Linked DNA regions of Mus musculus. The protein of the gene in region 1 purifies or fractionates together with the protein of each later gene. This does not show direct contact. Links are inferred from orthologs where the notes say so. Each region holds a gene or a part of one and is shown in the gene's direction. Other genes may lie near its edges. The genes, in order: Cttnbp2nl, Strn3 and Stk24.

What was found.
Region 2: the proteins of Cttnbp2nl (region 1) and Strn3 purify together in Homo sapiens (affinity purification with mass spectrometry; 4 studies listed by BioGRID and IntAct, with this or other methods). This does not show direct contact. The link is inferred for Mus musculus from reciprocal best matches to the Homo sapiens genes CTTNBP2NL and STRN3.
Region 3: the proteins of Cttnbp2nl (region 1) and Stk24 purify together in Homo sapiens (affinity purification with mass spectrometry; 3 studies listed by BioGRID and IntAct, with this or other methods). This does not show direct contact. The link is inferred for Mus musculus from reciprocal best matches to the Homo sapiens genes CTTNBP2NL and STK24.

Annotation. Positions count from the first base shown.
Region 1 is NC_000069.6:105,003,534-105,009,481, reverse strand, and holds part of Cttnbp2nl (CTTNBP2 N-terminal-like protein), read left to right. Parts: intron 1-1,278; exon of another isoform or gene 1,279-1,426; coding exon 1,427-1,534; intron 1,535-3,353; coding exon 3,354-4,832; 3' UTR 4,833-5,948. UniProt on the Homo sapiens protein: Regulates lamellipodial actin dynamics in a CTTN-dependent manner. Associates with core striatin-interacting phosphatase and kinase (STRIPAK) complex to form CTTNBP2NL-STRIPAK complexes.
Region 2 is NC_000078.6:51,688,202-51,695,122, reverse strand, and holds the start of Strn3 (striatin-3), read left to right. Parts: upstream 1-3,208; 5' UTR 3,209-3,419; coding exon 3,420-3,701; intron 3,702-3,808; exon of another isoform or gene 3,809-6,921. UniProt on the Homo sapiens protein: Calmodulin-binding scaffolding protein which is the center of the striatin-interacting phosphatase and kinase (STRIPAK) complexes.
Region 3 is NC_000080.6:121,294,261-121,300,439, reverse strand, and holds part of Stk24 (serine/threonine-protein kinase 24), read left to right. Parts: intron 1-3,119; coding exon 3,120-3,305; intron 3,306-5,639; coding exon 5,640-5,785; intron 5,786-6,126; coding exon 6,127-6,179. UniProt on the Homo sapiens protein: Serine/threonine-protein kinase that acts on both serine and threonine residues and promotes apoptosis in response to stress stimuli and caspase activation.

The DNA of each region.
Region 1 (5,948 bases):
TGTTTTCCATTTCAGACTGTTCTTAAACCTTCCTGTCTGGGGCCTGGAGAGATGGCTTAGCAGGGATGAGCACTAATTGCTCTTCCAAAGGACCGAGTTTAGTTGCTAACACACTCACATCAGGCAGCTCACAACCACCTGTAACTCTAGCTCCATAGAATTCAGTGCCTCTGGCCTCCATGGGCAACAACGCTCATGTGCGCACATACTCACGCATAAATAAATACAATAAATTCTTGAAAAAACTTTCTCCCCTACTAAAGTCTCTCATCTCTGAGACTCTATAGTATATTTCTTTCTGTAATTTTAAAGGGCTCTCAAACTAGATAATACATTTAACCAGAAGGCATTCTATTACATTTAAAATCTAGATTTTTTTTAGCTCAACAGGAAGTACACTAATACATCTTAATTTTAGTTTTATTTATATTTAATTATTTTTTGAGACTAGATCTCCCTGTATCTGTATAGCTCTGGCTGGCTTCGAACTCATTGTGTAGACAAGGCTAACTTCACGGTCATGGCAATCCTCCTGCCTCTGCCTTCTGTATACTTAGAGGACAGGCATGTGTCACCATGTTTGTTTGTTTTCATTTTAAACTTTAAAGTGGGGTTCCGTGTTATAGAAAATGTTCTTTCTTCATTCCTAAAATTATTAGTAGGCAACATCTTGAGAATTGACCATCAACATAACTGACAGCCCAAGAGGTCTAGGCTGAGCCACTCTGAAACAGAAGCTACTGAACGATACATTCACATGTCAAATGCTGTGTGGTTTGGGCAGAATGCATGAGAAATGTCCATTTCTGCTTTTGTTTTCCTGGAAACTGATTTAGAGCATTCAGCACCAGGATAAGTGGACTAGGATAAATGGGCAAGTTGTTAAATTCTTGTGGAAAATCACAGGTCAGATCCCAGTAACCGAGCCTTCTGCACATAGGATGGAGTAGGAGTCTTTCCCAGATGATCTGGGTGTTAGTTAAGCAAGGCACTGGATGTTCTGTTTGATTTGATCTTTAGTTTCAAGCTGGAGCTTTGGTGCCTCCTGTGATAGCATTGAGAGGAACACCTCAGCCTTGTGTGGTGCCGCCCACCACAACAGGGCTCGCCCCAGCAGGTCCCTAGTCAGAACAAACCGCCTGTGATTTCCCAGAATTCTGCTGGTTCTCAAACCTTCCCAACCCCCACAGCTAATTCGTTTCTCTCTTGTCTCTGTTTGCATTCTTCTGCACATACTTCAACAAAAGTAAACATCTTGTTTTCTAGCACATAGCTCACATGTCTTTCATCCTGCTGCGACAGCGTGCGCCTCGACAGCCCTGGCTGGATTTCATGTGTTTGCTCATTTAATCTGGAACCCTCAAGTCTTGAGTAGTGTAAGTGTTGAGTCGATGTTTGGAAGTTAATGCTTTAAAATCCTTTACAGGTGATCCTCGACCTTGAAGAAGAAAGACAGAGGCATGCACAGGACACTGCTGAAGGAGATGATGTCACCTACATGCTGGAGAAGGAGAGGGAGAGACTGACGCAGCAGGTAACTCGGGAAGGAGGAGCAGGATGACCTTGTCTAGAGAGTTGCTGCTTAGGCTTACGGCAGTGTGCAGAATTACGTTAGAAGTCCTTATTGAGAAGATAGAATGGCCATGTTTATCACGGCTATTCCCAAAATGTCTGTTTTTTCAAACAAACAAACAAACAAACAAACAAAAAACATAGGTAACTTGGGATTGGGGAGATAGTCCAGGGGGCAAGCACTGCTCTTGCAGAGGGCCCACGTTTGGTTCCTCACATCCACATCAGGTGTCTCACACCTTCCTGGAACTCCAGCTCAGAGGATCTGACACCCTCCTCCTGTCTACAGTAAGACCTGTACTCATGCACAGAGTCCTCACCCACACACAAGTATACATAACTTTAAAAATAAAACAAACAAAGATCACTCAGTGGAACTGTCATTCATAGCACATCCTTTAGAGATCTCTGAGTTTCAGGCTTTTTTGTTGTCCCACGACCTACAGTAACAGCATGGCCTATCCCAAGCCAGTACGCCTGAAGTAGAGTGTTGAGGTGTGGTCTTGCTTGTCCTTTAATGCTAATATTGGGCCCCCAAGATCTGGTTGTCCCAGAGATGACACAGTCTACATGTAGACCCAAGTGACACTGTGTGATCTTGCCCCGAGTTATTTTTGATTGGTGAATAAAAATGCCAATAGCCAATAGCTAGGCAGGATTTGGGGTGAGAGGAGAAACACAAGAAAGAGAAGGTGAAAAGTATGGAGGAGGAGCCACCATGGGTTAGGTGAGCCGTGAAAATATGGCCCTGAGGGCTGGCCAATTAGAGTTTAAGAGCAGCCCAGATGAAACATGGTAAGTAATAAGTTGGAGTTATCAATAGGAAAGTAGATTCTAATAGCATAGAAAGTAGATATCTGCCTAGGTTTTGTCCTGGTTAAGCCTTATTGTAAATATAAAGGCTGTGTGTGTCTTTTATCCGGAAACTAAATGATAAAGGCAAGGTAGAAACCTCAGTTTGGGATTAAATAATTTCCACATCACAGAGATCACAGGACATAAACCATCTGTTTATTCTTGTACTATACAGTGGTGGTGTGCTCACATTGTAGATCAGGGCAGCCTTGACTCACACTCATGAATTCTTTTTGTTTTTAAGTATGATCATGGTTTACTGAACTGGCTTCCCCATCTATCAATGTATCTCGAATTGGAAATTCCTGATTAGAAGGTTCATCCACCCGTTCCCTCTCAGAGTCTGTATAATAATGTTAGACAATAAAACAGACTACATTTGTGTAGATCCAAGGATGGTGGTTCATGCCTCTCGTCCTACCAGTTGGAAGGAGGATTTCAAATTCAAAGCGAGTCTCAGAGTAAGACTTTGTCTAATGAAAACAACAAAAGCAGGGTCTCAGTGCAGCTATTTATGTTCGTTACTCTTTGTAAAGATCAGACAGAATGATTGCTGCATCTTCAAGTTTGATTTTCAACAGCATCCATGCCCAGATGCATCTTACATTGTATTCTGTTATTTGTTTTGGCTGATTCTATGGCCTCTCCGCATACCTAAAACACAACGGTGCATCATATCCCTGCTGTTCACCCTGAGGCAGTTAGGAACTCAAATGCCTCCCAAGTCATCAAGAAAGATTAAATCATAGTGTGTGGGGTGTTCTCATACTTCAAAAATACTAATTAACCTAAGCACCGTGCTGTACAAACTAATACCGCGCACCAGAGAGCAGCCAGTGAGGACACCCTGAGTGATCGTAATTGTTAGTACATCCTTCTGTTTTCCTTCTCTAATCAAGAGGTGTGGTGGCATTTTTCTTTTCTAGTTGGAATTTGAAAAGTCCCAAGTGAAAAAGTTTGAAAAAGAACAAAAGAAGCTGTCCAGTCAGTTGGAGGAGGAGCGCACCCGCCACAAGCAGCTCTCTTCCATGCTGGTGCTCGAGTGCAGGAAGGCCACTAGCAAGGCAGCCGAGGAAGGGCAGAAGGCCGGAGAGCTGAGCCTGAAACTGGACAAGGAGAAGAGCCGGGCGAGCAAGCTAGAGGAAGAGTTGGCAGCCGAGAGGAAGCGGGGCCTGCAGACGGAGGCCCAGGTGGAGAAGCAGCTGTCTGAGTTCGATATCGAAAGGGAGCAGCTGAGAGCCAAACTGAACCGAGAGGAGAACCGGACCCGTGCCCTGAAGGAGGAGGTGGAGAGCCTGAAGAAGCTTGTGAAAGACCTAGAGGCTGCCCAGCAGCACCGCAGCACCAGTGAGCAGGGCAGGGAGCCAGTGACCATGTCCAGAGGCACAGCCACGGAGCCTCCCATGCGAGTGTCTGCGTTTTGTCAAACAGAGAGTGTTCAGACAGAAAGAAGCCACGGGAGTGTCATAACCAAGCTGACAGACACTGGTCTTCCAGGTCCCACCACGGCTGCTTACTCATATGCTAAAGCTAATGGCCACTGTGACCCAGAGATACAGACTACCAGGGAGTTGACCTCAGACAGCAGCACAGAAAACCAAGGGCCTCCACGGGAGAAATCTGCAGTAGCGGCTCAGGAGAAACCAGTGGAGAATGGTGGGTGTCCTGTAGGAACTGAGACTCCAGTCACGATGCCTAGTCACCTCCCTTCCAGTGGCAGCTCCCTGTCTCCCAGCAGCACAGCCTCTTCCTCTCTGACATCATCTCCTTGCTCCTCCCCAGTTCTAACCAAGCGTCTCTTGGGGTCAGCAGCCAGCAGCCCGGGCTACCAGTCTTCCTACCAAGTCGGGATCAACCAGCGCTTCCATGCCGCTCGGCACAAATTTCAGTCCCAGGCGGATCAGGATCAGCAAGCCAGCGGTCTCCAGAGCCCTCCATCCAGGGACCTGTCCCCTACCCTGTTAGACAACTCTGCTGCCAAGCAGCTGGCCCGAAACACAGTCACTCAGGTGCTCTCCAGATTCACTAACCAAGGGCCAATTAAGCCCGTCTCTCCCAACAGTTCTCCCTTTGGGACAGACTACCGAAATCTGGCCAGCACTGCCAGCCCAAGAGGTGACACCAGCCATTCACCCACTCCAGGGAAAGTGTCCAGCCCTCTGAGCCCCCTCTCTCCAGGAATCAAGTCCCCAACCATCCCCAGAGCTGAGAGAGGAAACCCTCCACCAATCCCGCCCAAAAAGCCTGGCCTCACCCCTTCGCAGTCTGCCACCACTCCAGTAACCAAGACTCATTCCCAGGCATCCTCCCTGGCCGCCACAGAAGACCTCGCCAGCAGCTGCTCCCCCAGTGCCGTGGTGGCCAATGGCAAAGATGTTGAGATACTTTTGCCTACCAGCAGCTAGTCCCTAGGGCTGAGTCTCCACATTTGACATTCCATCAGACTCGGGCCAAGAGCTCAGCGTTAAACCCTGGAGTCAAATCATGTTATTTATTTGATAGTAGCTACAGCCATCTGTATAATACATTCAGTGTATTTACCTTTTTGTATTTTTTTAAGTAGAAATTGAATACTTTGGATTTTTATGACTCACCTCTTTGTACTAAGCTAGAAGGGGACCTCATAGACATAGCGCATCTCAAGCTCTGCACTTGCCAGCGTGCTGCGACGAGGCGGCTGACTGGGGACCAGGCGGTGCTGCTGCCAGTCGGGGAGCTAGAATTCATTACTCAGCACTCATTTCAAATTATGCAGAAGCGGTTCGTGCAGATTTTTATTCCAGATGAACATGTTTTAAAAGTGCCTGAAATCGCCTGCCACGGGAATGTGATTCTGCGGCAGAAACAAAAGACAGAGCATTTCTTGCAGCAAATGAGATCCTCTGTGAATCTGAATGTCAAAAAACCAACACTGCTTTTAATCCTCTCTGACTGTTTAATGCCAGCTTTGTGTTCTGAACCGAGGTTTGCATAAGTAGAGTGGAAATCCTTCTGAAGGGCGGGAACTCTGTCAGGCTGAGCTCTGTAAAGCCCTCAAGAAACCCTCCAGAACACTTAGCAGTTGGGGTGCTGATTTTCTTGTGCTTTTGAAAACTTAAGTCATTCTCCGTTTCCTGCATCACTTCTTGAGTAGTGAAGTCACGTCTCCATTCAAATCCACCCTCAAGCATCGGCCATGGGAACTTCTGATTCTGGTTGCTTTTACTTGAATAGGAAATGACATAATGAACTCTTTATTCTGTGATCAAAAAGCAATAACTTAAAAGTCAGTCTTTGTAATACTGTAAGTCAGAATTATACAGATTTTACCAAATTGTTACATTCACTCTCCATGCTGCCAGCACTTCTATCTATGGAACCAAATGGGCGTATATCTGTATCTGTATAGTACACACCCCTTTTACATGTTCAGCATTCTCACACTCAAGCACATAAGTATTAGTGCAATTGTATCTCTGGAGCTTGCAGTGTAGCATAAAGGACAAAGTAGAATCAATCGCATGTTAAGATTACCTACCAAA
Region 2 (6,921 bases), on another chromosome or scaffold:
CCAGCCATGAAAACAAGAATTCTTGTCATACCCTTTAAGATGAGGAAAAACAACAACTAAAATAGTATTTATGAACCTGCTTGAGTTCTTCAGTGGGAAGATGACAGGTCACCAAGACAAAGTGCTTAGATAATCACAAGTAGCTACTTGGTTCTCAAAGGCAGAGTGGAGTACAAGCTTTTCATAGTCACATTTGAAATAACTGATAAGAAGGTATCTGAGTATTGTCTATTCCCAACTTACTTAAAAGCCTGGAATTCTTTGGTATACTTTGGCTTTCATAATTCATGTAAATTAAATACGACAAGTCCAGCTGAGTAAGCATATTGGTTCAAATATTACTTGTAAGGATAGAAAACAAAGTAGTGCCCTAAAAACTAAGCTGATCAAAAATATAGGCATTGTTTTTTTAACCAAATCAAACCAAACAACAACAAAACAAGGTCTCACTGTGTACTTTAGTCTAGCCTAGAATTCTTCACATGACTCAGGGTTCAGACTCTCAGCAATAATTCTGGCTCAGCCTCCCCAGTGCAGAAAGTACCGAGCAGCCATACATAGACTTTCATGAAGATCATCATGAACTGAGCAAGCTGAAGTCCATTTGCAATCCCAGCACTTGGGTGGCAGAAACAGGAGAATCTCACACTCAAGGGCAGCACACCATTTTACCCTCCACCTACCCCAAATCATTCTGAAAGAAGGAGAATCTAGGCAGGAGCAGGGAGGAGTGACAGGTGAGAGGACAGGATAAATAGGAAGTTTCAAAGGGGACTGAAGAGAGGAAATGACTCAGCAAGGGGTCAGAGAGAGAATTCCAGTTAGGCAAGCTGAACTGTTAGAGTGTAACTGGGAGAATTTGTTATCTAAAAGTTCTAGAGACTCATTCCAGTGTTCTCAGGAGCAGTGGGCAGGAAGCACAATGTTAACAGTGTAAAACATCATCTCAGCAGAGCAGAAAACTTTGCTATTTGTTTCTGTTTCTTTGTTGAGACAGGGTTTCCTTGTGTAACAGTCCTGGCTATTCTGGAACTGGCTTTGTAGACCAGGCTGGCCTCAAACTCAAAGATCTGCCTGTCTCCACTTAAGACAGACAATAGAAGAACAACAGTTATCTTTTTGCAGGGTAGGTGGGGGGCAACCTTCCTGTGAGCTGAAGTGTGAAATGAGAAATATAAATGTGCAACTTGCTCTTTTGACATAATCACCAGCCATGTGGGCTTCAGATCCCTAAAAGCTTCCTTGTGTTCATAAAATAGGTACCCAGGATGTAAGTTTTTCTGAGCTTTTTATGTGTTCTTTCTTAAGGAATGGGACTGCTTGAGCCAGCTGTATGCTGATTGTCAATAACTCTTAGATAACAGTACTATTTCTTCATATAAAAAAAAAGATGTATTTACTTATGTGAGTACACTGTTGCTCTCTCAGACACACCAGAAGAGAGCACTGTATCCCATTTCAGATGGCTGTGAGTCACTGTGGTCGCTGGGAACTGAACTCAGGACGCCTAGGAGAGCAGTCAGTGCTCTTAACTGCTGAGCCATCTCTCCAGCCTCATTTCTTCATTTACTAAAGACTACATTTCATAAATATGGTAATAAGTGTAACAGATCGAATTAGTTCTTTATAACACAGCAGACATGACAAAATAAAATGTATTTCTTTTTCTCTCTGAAGTTATATGAAGTCACTTATATGCTCCAATGTGAAAATTTGAATAGGCTTTCAGAGTGAAAATAAAAGTTTAAAAACATAACCAATTTTATATACTATTTCTTGTATAGCTGTAAGTACTGTGTATTTTTCTTTTCATTTGCTGTTACATAGGTTATTAGGTTTTTTGTTTTTTTTTTCCTTCTTCTTCTTTCCTTTTTTGGCTTTTCCAGACAGGGTTTCTCTGTTGTCCTGGCTGTCTGGGAACTCTGCAGACCAAGCTGGTCTGAAACGAAACCCAGAGATCAGGTTGTCTACCTCTGCCTCCCGAGTGCTGGGATTAAAGACATGGTTCACCAAGCCCGGTAGCCAGGCTGTTACCTCAACTTACAGAAAGCCGGGCGTGGTGGCACGCCTCTCATCCCAGCACTCGGGTGGCAGAGGCAGGCGGATTTCTGAGTTCGAGGCCAGCCTGGTCTACAAAGTGAGTTCCAGTTCAGCCAGGGCTATACAGAGAAACCCTGTCTCGAAAAAACCAAAAAAAGAACTTACAGAAAAATGCACACTATAGCACCTAAAAACTGACCCTTTGTGTATGTAGTATTTCATTCTAAAACCATTTAATGATGAAGAAAGATATCGTTGTGTTGATTTAGTTCATCTTAAGTTCTATTTACAATACTTTCATTTTGTTTCGATCAAAATTTCTGCCACTAATGACAATATCTGCGTTCATTGACTTCTAAACATCAGTCTCTTTGAAAGTTATCGTTTGCCATCCAACCCACTATTCTCAAGAATTCAAGATATCACAACTTCTTCAGGAAAAAAAAAAAAAAAAAAAAAAAAAAAAAAAAAAAAGCAATAGCTCAAACACAGAGAATCTCAGAATAATAAAGACTTAAGAAGTTACAACGGGCGGCCAGGAGCACCGAAGTGGGACCAAAGAAGCAGGTTGCGACGAAGCCCAGGAGCCAGTGAGAAAGTCCGGAAGAATCTGGGCTATTTGCCAAACGTAGACGTCTCCAGAATCCTGCAGACTGACTGGTGCCACGAAACCAGAGGTCAAGTGAGTGACAGGCAGAAAAGAGGCCCGACCCTCTGGGACTGAGCAAAACACGCCAGGAATTCTAGAGAAACGTCAGGAATTCCAGGGCAGTACGGAGGACGCCTTGCACGCAGCTCCAGAGCCCAGGCCCTCAGCTGAGACCCACGCTGCCCCTAAGGATACGTGCGTGAGGAAAACGACCCGGAAGCCCGACGCCCACGCGCTTCCCCAAAGTCAAGGCAGCATCCAGATTCCACAGGCGTAGAAAAGCTGGGGCCCGGCGCCCGAGTTGGGGCGGGGCCCAGGCCTTTCCCCGCCTCCCGAAGAGCGGTCCATCCTCAGTGCGCCTGCGTGGGGTGAGGCCGGACTCTTTTTGGCTCTCCGGAGTGCGGCTTGCAGCGGCGTTCTCTACCCAGCGTGCCGTGCGCGAGCGGCGGCCCTCCGTCCCTCCTCCTCCTCCTCCGTCCCTCCTCCTCCTCCCGCCGCGGCCCCCCTCTCCCCCAAAGTGAGTGAGTGAGACGGGCAGATGGAGGAGGTACCGTAATGGCGGCGGCCGGCAGCTCCCTGCTCTGATCCGCGGCAAGCACACGGCAACGACCCCCTCCCCGGCCGTCTCCCGGCCGGCCCCCCGCCCTGCGGTCGGCGCGGGGCCACCGTCCCGGCCCTCCCCGCAGCTGTCGGCGTCTGGCACTGCGCCCCGGCCGGGGCCCCACACACAATGGACGAGCTGGCCGGAGGCGGCGGCGGCGGCCAGGGGATGGCAGCCCCTCCCCGGCCGCAGCAGGGACCCGGGGGGAACCTGAGCCTGCCGCCGGGAGCGAACGGAGCGCCGGGCGGCGGGGGTCCTCCGGCCGCCGAGGCGGCGGGGCCCCCGGCAGGCCCGGAGCTGTCCCGGCCGCAACAGTACACGATCCCGGGGATCCTACACTACATCCAGCACGAGTGGGCTCGCTTCGAGATGGAGCGGGCGCACTGGGAGGTGGAGCGGGCCGAGCTGCAGGTACGTCACCCGTCACCCCTCTCGACTGCGAGCTGGGGCCGGGGCCACGGGCCGCGGGGGTGGGGCCGGGGCTGAGGCCCGTGCCCTCAAGGGCGGAGGGGACCTACCTGAGCCGCTCCGGCCGGCGAGCGGTGACGGCGCGCCCGGCTCCCTCCTCACGGGCGGCGCGCTGCGGGCATCCTTGGGGCAGCCATTTTGGCTTTTAGCATGGCGTCCGCAGGGCTCCTCCGGAGCCACCTCTCCTGGGCCTCCGGGGTTTGGGCCCAGCGCCTCTGGGCGAGAGTCTGGCGTGGGCCCGCTAGGCACTGAGTTTGCGCTTGTGGGTCCCCTTGAGGGTGAGGCCACGCGGAGAGGGCCTGGGATGAGCGTCTTTGCCTCCTGGCTCCTGCACCCCCTTCCGATGTGGCGTCCTGCCCCCTCCCCCGCGCCTCGGTACGCACTTGCCCCTTGACAGCCACGCCGCTTCGGGCTACCGCCGCGCACAATGGCTCGCGGCCGGCCGGACAAGTTTGCCTTCCCATCCTCAACTCCTTTAAGTACCTGCGATGCCGCTCTACTCACTTGGATTTCCTTTAGCGCTTACTGATTCATCAACACTTTAACTGAATATTTCTCTCTTGAGTCGGCTTCTCTAGAGTTCCCTACTATATTCATGTTTTTACTGATGCAAAGCAAAGCTGGGCTGTCAGTACAGTATTTAGGAAATGTCTGCGGAAAGAATTGGTCTTAATTTGAAGTAGACCGTACTTATCGCTTAGTACAAGCTAAAACGGAGTTAAATGTCCACTTAATGTGATCCTCTGACAGACTTGGGTTATCCTAACTTTTGGAAGGTGACAGTTGCGGGTTCATGCCTTGAATTTTTAAAATTGCTGCATCTGTTTGAAAGGATTATTCAAGCTGGAGGATGACTGCGTTTAGTTTTAAGTTCCTTTCCAGGGTTTAATTTAAGCTTAGAAGAAAAAAAGCGTGTATCTAATTAAGCGTTGCACCTGTTTTTCAGACTTATAAATTTCGACATAAGCAATATTGTTCGTTATTATACACACACACACACAATAACTTTGGTGAGAAATAATGTTGAAACAACAGCGTGATTAATGAATGTAGAAAAGGTATCCTCAAATAAATATGAGTCTTCAGTTTGGTGTCGAATAGTAAACTTTTTAATTACATTGATTAATTTATTTCTGACCTGATTATTTACAAACTATAAACAATTTTATTCAAAAATTAAAAATACCCAGGTGTAGAGGCATAAGTCTTTAATCTCAGTGCTCAGGAGGGAGATGTTTAATATCCATGAGTTCAGGCCAGGCTGATTTATATAGAGTTCCAGGACAATTGCAGTTACATAAGAGTCTATCTTAAACAAACAAAAAAGTAAAAGAAAATTAGAAATAAGGTTGTTTCATTGTCAAAAGCATTGCAAAGCAATTGATTGGACCAGTAAACTTTTTTGGTTATGGGCTTTTGTTATTGTTTTGTGTTTTTGAAACTGGCTTTTTTCTCTGTGTACCTCTGGCTGTCCTGGAAGTAATTCTGTAGATCGGGCTGGCCTGCAACTCAGAGATCCATCTGCCTCTGCTGGGATCAAAGGTGTGTGCCCTCACCATCTAGTATTGTGGTTGCTTTTGAGACGGTCTCTGTTGTCTTGGGTGATCTGAAAACTCACTATGTAGAACAGGTTGGTTTAGACCTCTTAGAGGTCCACATGCTACCTCTTGAAGTGCTGGAATTATAAAGTCTTGTACCACCTCACCTGGCAAGCCAGTAAACTTTTATTTAACTCCACAAAGTGGGTGAAGTTAAATTTTACAACAACAAAATCCTACTTATTTTATATGACACCTTTAGTTCATTCCGTAATCTTAAAATTGTGCTTAAAAAATACATTTGTGTTTTAGAGATTACTACTTTCAAAAAAACTTATGTCAAAATTGCTGTGGTTTCTTTTAAATTTCTAGAGTCTACTATTGTTGGATTTAGAGTTTTGTGGGCATACATCTTTCTAGTATGTTGATGCCGACTTTTCCATGTGGATAGAGAGAAGGTAATCTGTTAAAAATTACATTGAGGCTTTTGCTGAATTGATAAACCACCAGGTCCATATATAGTATTTGATCCTTGTACTGTTGTTTTGATTTTCAAATTAGCACTTGAATTTGTCACTCAGGCATGATTAATGTAACTAGCTAAGAAAGCATCTTGTATCCAAATTAAGTTTTTTGTTGTTGTTGTTGTTACGTCTTTTTTTTTGTTTTTGTTTTGTTTTTTTTTTGTTTTTTTGAGACAGGGTTTCTCTGTGTAGCCCTGGCTGTCCTGGAACTCACTTTGTAGACCAGGCTGGCCTTGAACTCAGAAATCCACCTGCCTCTGCCTCCCAAGTGCTGGGATTAAAGACATGCGCCACCACGCCTGGCAACAAGTTTTACATTACTGAAATACATGGTTTTCTTTTTCATTGTTCCTGATCTTACTTAACAGCAACAGAAAAGGATTTTTAAGGATTCTGTAGCTTGGTTTCTTTCAGATTGATAGTCTTTATTTACTTGCTTTTCCCCTCCTTTTAAACCTTTTTATTATGTTTCATTATGTGTGTATATGTGCATGTGCACATGAGGTCAGGTCCTCAAAGGCCAGATGGTGGGTTCCTCTGGAGCTGGAGTTGCAGGTGTTGTGAGCCTCCCTGCTGTGGGGGCTGGGACTGGGACTAAGGTACCCTGGAAGATGTGCCATTTCTCCAGCTTGTTTACTCTGTTTAAAGAATGTTATATGATGTTCTCTGGTTCTATTTTATCCAGAGACATTCGCATTATTTTATACTGATACTTTTGGAATAAAATGTTCACGACTGGATTGTTTATATGTTCTTGTATGTGCTGTATATTTTAAAAATTGCCTTATTGGATTAATTGATAGTGTTTCAGATTTGTTTCTAGGATATTGAGTGTGCTTTAAGTGCTGTCACTCATTGTGTGTGGGTGGGGGCCAGGACTGTTTAGAAAAGCTGCCTGAACCTTGGTAGGTGGCTCACAGTGGCCTTGAATGCTATTAGTCTAAATAAAACTGCTTGTGAGTACATACTTCAAAGTTTTGTGTTGAATGTATGTGTAAAAAATTCATGTGTTGTATTTAAGCTGTAAGTTTAAAATTATTTCTGTTACTTTCCTAAAAACAAGACTACTACTACTTTAAAAAAAAAAGATTTATTTACTTT
Region 3 (6,179 bases), on another chromosome or scaffold:
CCTTGGTGTAGTTCAGCTTTCGTTGTTTTGGACAGGGACTGTACCCCCCTTACCTGACTCGTCTGAACCCTCAGGTGCCACATTTCCTAACAAGCAGGTATGTGTACTGGGGCTTGGTATCTGTGCTGTTTGGAGAGGCATCCTGTCTTCCTAGTCTCCATTTGTTGGGGTACGTGGTGTTTAAACACGATTGGGTGTTTCCATGGCTTCTGATCACATGCCAAATGGCTTGGTGTCCTGGATGTGCCAGCTCTGTGTCCAGGCTTGAAGGTGGGCATCAGAGGCAGACAGAAGACTGCCCAGGTCCCTGCACAAGTCCTGGGGAATGGCAGCTCAGCCAAGATAGAACTAGAGGGGTGTGGGAACGCTAGGCACCTAAGAGTTCACTGCCACACACTTCTCACCTGTGTGGGTTCAAATACTTCATGGTTTGGTTTAGATGGACTCCACTAGAGAGCCCAGTCTGGTCTTGAACTTTCAGTTCCTCTTGCCAACCAACCTTCAGAGCTGGGGTTACAGTGGCCTGCCACTATTCCTGGTTGTATTCAGGATGTTCCAAAGAGGAATCTCAGGTTGCTTTGCAGCCCAGGGCTGTCACTCAGTGTACCGGGGACAGAGTAAGCAGAGACAGTTCCTTGCAGGATTGCTGTGCAGTCAGAGCGCAGCTAACCTCAGGCAGAGACCATGACTGTCCGGCCTTGTAACCTGTAAGGCTGAGCAGGGTGTGTGAAGTCTGGAGATCTGGATGGAGAGCCATTGCCAGGGGCCCCATTGATGCATGGTGGGACATGGCTGTGCCTCAGAGCATGGGAGTAGGTGCCGTAGTTACGAGGACTACAGTGGGAGCACGTGAGTCAGGCCTGCCTCAGTCCTCCTCTTCCTGCTGTGTGGCTTTCTCCCTTTTTCTAGCCACCTTCATGGTGATGACTGAGGTGATGTGGCAGGGATTTCTGGTGCTCACAAGGTTTCAGGAGAATAGCAAGCAAGGGTACTCCAGGTAAAGGCTGGAGATTGTTCTGGTCCCCTGGTCCCCTTCATCGGCCTCTCCTGCCACCTGTGCCGTAAGTGTTGGACTTGTGACAAGTTCATGGTGCAATGACAAGAGCAGGTGCCGTTCTCCACCCCATCCCCATGCCTTCTTTGCCAACCCGTTTTGTCGTGTTTCACACGTGTTGAGCTCCTGACAGCCCTGCTTGTTGTAAAGTTGGCCTGAGACTTGTGTTCCTTTCATACAGTGAGCATTTAAGGAACGTACCGTGCACAGAGGTGACAGTCCGACACAGGGGTTTGGGCAGTTGGAGAGCAGGGCTGTCCCAGTGCCTAGTCTGTCTGAGTCTCAAGTCAGAACCTGCAGGGCCTTAGCTGGGAACACACTGAGAGAGAAACACATCAGATGTCAGGGGTGCTTAGTGAAGGCTTTAGTATTGTGGTAACTGCAGTGACCACAGGCAGCTTGGGGAGCACAGGGCTAATTCACCTTAAAATGTACAGTCCCTCATGAAGTCAGGCCAGGAACCTGGAGATGGGAGCTGTAGCAGAGACCATAGGGGATTCCACTTGCTGGCTGGTTCTTCCTGGCTGGCTTAGTTTGCTTTCTCACATACCAGGGCCACCTGTCCAGGGGTGATGGCCCCTCCCACAGTGGTCTGGGCCTTTCCACATCAATCATTAATCAGGAGAAAAAATGCTTCAAAAAGGCTTGCCTGTAGGTCAGTGTGACGGGGCGTGCTCTCCATTGAGTGAGGTTCTTCCAGCTTATCAAGTCCAACCAGGACAAAGGGAAATGACACGCAGAGTAAGGACTTGAGACCTCATTCTTAAAGGCTCTGGGGAAATTGGCAATAGAGACCGCTATTGATTAAAGGACCTGGGCAGCGTAGCCATCATATGGGGCAAGTGGACTTTGGATCCTAATTCAGATAAAGCAGCTCTGGAAACTTTTATGGTTTTTAAGCAGTTGGAAAGGCTCAGGTATTACTTGATATTAAAGAATTGTAGATACTCCTTGAAAAACTCACTGGAACTTGGACGTACTTTTTTTTCCCCCTTGCTCATTCTGGTAGCAGTGCTGTCTGGAAAATGGGCCATCGGTTGCTGCCTAGCACCACACACGAGAGCTGCTGTGCTCATGGCCTGGGAAAGCTCCAAGTTCAGTAGCTCCATTTCTACTGCTAGTATTGCTAATTTCAGTGTCAGGGTGCAGACAAGCCCTGTTTGGCTGGCATATTGAAGTACTCGGGGGTGAGGGGTGGCAGGTGTCAAGATAGCTTCTGTCTGTCTGTCTGTCTGTCTGTCTGTTTATTCTTTCTTTGAGATAAGATCCTGCTGTATATAGTTCTAGTATTTTGCTGTGTATATGGCTTGAGCTAGCCTCAAACTTGTGGCAGTCCTCCTGCCTCTGTCTCTTGGGTGCTGTGATTACAAGTCACTATACTTAACAAAGTCTATATGAAAGTGATCACAGTGATTACCTTTGTGTGCCATATGTATGGTTATATTAATGTCCATGTCTGTGTGTTTGACCATTTTTATAATAAACATTCTCTACCACTGATAAGAGCATTTGCCTAGGGTGAGCCCCTAGGTTCAGTTCCCAGCACTGCAAATGCCATCAAACAAAGCAATAATGCTTTGAGTTGTGGGCACAGTGGTAATGCAGTCCCTTTATACACCCTTGAAACTACCTCCCTCGTGAAAATCAAGGGGGCAGGGCTAAGGGAAAGCTGCCTGTCTAGTGTCCTAAGACCCTGATTATAGTGCTGCTGTTTGAGACCACTAGGTCTGAGCAGCAGTGTGTAGTACCAGGTGCTGCCCAGGGGTGAAGTTCCTCCTGCTCATGTACTCCTGTTACTGCTGCTGGAAACCTGACACAGGCCTGCTGCCTGCCACAGAGGTGGCCAGTCTGGATCGCTACTGTAGCAATTTTGTATTTGTATGTAGTGTTTGCTACATAAAATCTGTCCACTTGTTTCCTGTGTTAAAATTATGCCACTGGCTTGTGTTTCTTAGTTCAGAATAGTGGTCTTTTTCAGAACCTGAGATTGAAGCGCGCGTGTTTTCCCCTCCCTTGTGCCTGTCTGAATGTGTCTCACGTCTTTAACATGCTTTTGTCCTTGCAGGCAGACATCTGGTCCCTTGGCATCACCGCAATAGAACTGGCCAAAGGAGAGCCACCACATTCTGAGCTGCACCCCATGAAGGTGTTATTCCTCATCCCAAAGAACAACCCTCCCACACTGGAAGGGAACTACAGCAAACCCCTCAAGGAGTTCGTGGAGGCCTGCCTGAACAAGGAGCCCAGCTTTGTGAGTGTGCACCTTTCTGGAGTCTCATCTTGGTCTGCATTTCTTCTGTTAGGGTTGGGCCAGACACTGTTTCCAGCTGTCTCCCTGATCTCTCTCTCTCTAGTCTTGGCAAATGAATTCAATATCTATCTATCTATCTATCTATCTATCTATCTATCTATCTATCTATCTATCTATCTATCTTCCCTCCCTCCCTCCCTCCCTCCCTCCTTCCCTCCCTCCCTCCCTCCCTTCCTTCCTCTTATTTGTTTTGAGACAGGGTTTCTCTCTGAAGCTCTGCCTTTCCTAGAACTCTCTCTGTAGACCAGGCTGGCCTTGAACTCACAGAGATCTGCCTGCCTCTGCTTCCTGAGTTCTGGGCACCACCACTGCCCCGTTTCTTTACGGACGCTCGCTCTTTGTTGCCTTTTGTCATCCTCTTGTCTTTTAGGGATTTCAGATGTAATTATTTTATCTTAGATTTTCTAGCATCTCCTTACTTCATTGAGCCTGAAGAATATTCTACTTAGTATAATAGGTAGGATGGTCAATTTTTAATATTTATAGAGAAAAGTCAGGCTGTACAACTAGGAAGCTACTTCAGTAGTAGCAGCGGGTAGACTCAAAATAAAGGAAGCAAATGGTCAGCTTCCAGTTAGTTGTTGTGTGCTAGGGAACAGACACACGGGGTACACGTGAGTCGCCCACCTCCACTGCCCCGCCTTTTCTCTCTGTGTTTACTTAGAGGTGGCAAAGCCCATGCATGCCCTTAGCTACTCTGAGCTTTCCTCTTTGTTCTCTGAGAATCGGGGCTTTTCTTGGAATAGAAAGGTAGCCTGTGTGTTGTCACATGTAGCACTCCATGCCGTAGCTTTGATTTGGGTTTCTTTGAGCAGATTTAGCTTCATTGAGCCTGAAGAATACTCATGGAGAGGGTCCCCGTTAGCTCTTGTCTGAAAATGGTGAGAAAAGATGAATGACACAGGAGCATCATATGGTTATCAACAGGAGCCCGTTCTGGCAAAGGGATTAAAAGGGGCAGAAAACACTGTCTTGGCTCCACCAGGGGCTGCAGGTTGAGGTTAGCAGGTTGCATTTGGTTATTGGGTCAGGTGGTGGGTGTGGTCTTGCATGCTAAGTCAATGTTTGATTGTTACACCATGGTGCCACACAATGTGGTGGAAGAGAGACCCAAATATGTGCACATCTTTTTTTATTTTTTTTATTTTTATTTTTTTATTTTATTTTATTTTTTTTGGTTTTTCGAGACAGGGTTTCTCTGTATAGCCCTGGCTGTCCTGGAACTCACTTTGTAGACCAGGCTGGCCTCGAACTCAGAAATCCGCCTGCCTCTGCCTCCCAAGTGCTGGGATTAAAGGCGTGCGCCACCACGCCCGGCTTCACATCTTTTTTTAAAGCATGTGCAGTACCGTTTATTCCCACCATGCACCCCTCTACCTTGGCTTACCCCTGGACCTTCACATGTGAAAGCTGCAAAGCTGAGAACACTTGGGATGTTTGGAGCGTCACAGCCAAAAGATGGGGGCGGGAGGACTCTCAGAGATTTCCATTAGAAGAAAATGCTATTCTTGATTCTTTGGAGCAAACATCACTGTGGGTGTGCCTGCCTGGCATCTCTGTGATTTTGCTATCTGTCCCTAGTTGGGCCACTCTGTTTCTTGGGGAACTTTTTGCCAGTAGATGGGGAAGCCGCTTACACTCTTTAATGCCATTTGGTTGGAGCTGTGCCGTGCTGGGTGGGGATTAAGCTGTTGGTCCCTGTCACCATCGTGGTGATGGCTTCACGGACCTACTTTTCTAAGTGGGGAGTGCTGGTGAGTGAGGGAACCGAGGCAGGAGCCAGGAGCCAGTCAGGTCTCTCCTAACTCCTGTCCCAACCTCTTCTGAGATGAGTCGAATCTGTGAACTCAGTTTAGGGTATTCGCCTAACACTATAGGAGATCATAAAGAATGTGTATTTCCCTTAGCCAGCACTCATGCTGAGAAACCAAAGAAAAACAAGATGAGCTCTCTCAGACAGTACTCACCAAGTTCTTTGTGGAGTTCTTTGCAGGAGTTCTTTTTCTTTGGTGAGCTACTCTGGCAGGATGCTTCAGTCTTTGTTGGAAACTCTCTCCCATTTTCCCTGTGCCCATATATGCTTGGGCATGGGTATGAAATGACTTCTCCAGAAAGCCTGAGTTAGGAGCAGGCTCTGAAGCAGAATCCAGGGCTGCCCCGTGGTGCGATGGTCTGGCTTTTTAACCCAGCAGTCTTGTCTGTTTGTGTGGGATAGAGTGGGGTGAAGAGGAAATGTCCTCTCGTGGTGATGACTTCGACATGTGTGCTTTCCAGAGGCCCACTGCTAAGGAATTATTGAAGCACAAATTCATAATCCGCAATGCAAAGAAAACGTCCTACTTGACCGAGCTTATCGACAGGTACAAGAGGTGGAAGGCGGAGCAGAGCCACGAGGACTCCAGCTCGGAGGACTCTGACGTGTAAGTTGCCCTGTCCAGGCTCTCCATGCCTGTAGCAGAGAGTTGGGCCCTGCTTCGTGGGGGTGGGGGTGGGGGTGAGCTTTTTTTGTGTGTGTAGCTGTGGCCAGGGTGGGGGTGGGAGGGCAAAAGAGAGTACAAACTTAGAGTCATGGCCAGAAGGAGGAACCTGCGGAGACACTGAGGCCCCAAAGGGACTAATAGTGAAGTGGCAGGCGGATCCTTAGGAGAGGTGTGGCCACTGTGTGCTGGAGGCAGCAGCAGGAGTGATGGAGCTGGTGGTGGTCTGGGCAGTGCAGCCCCTGGCCTGGTGTTGGTGAACTTGGTAGGATTTCTGTTCCAAGGGAGACAGATGGCCAGGCGTCTGGAGGCAGCGACTCTGGGGACTGGATCTTCA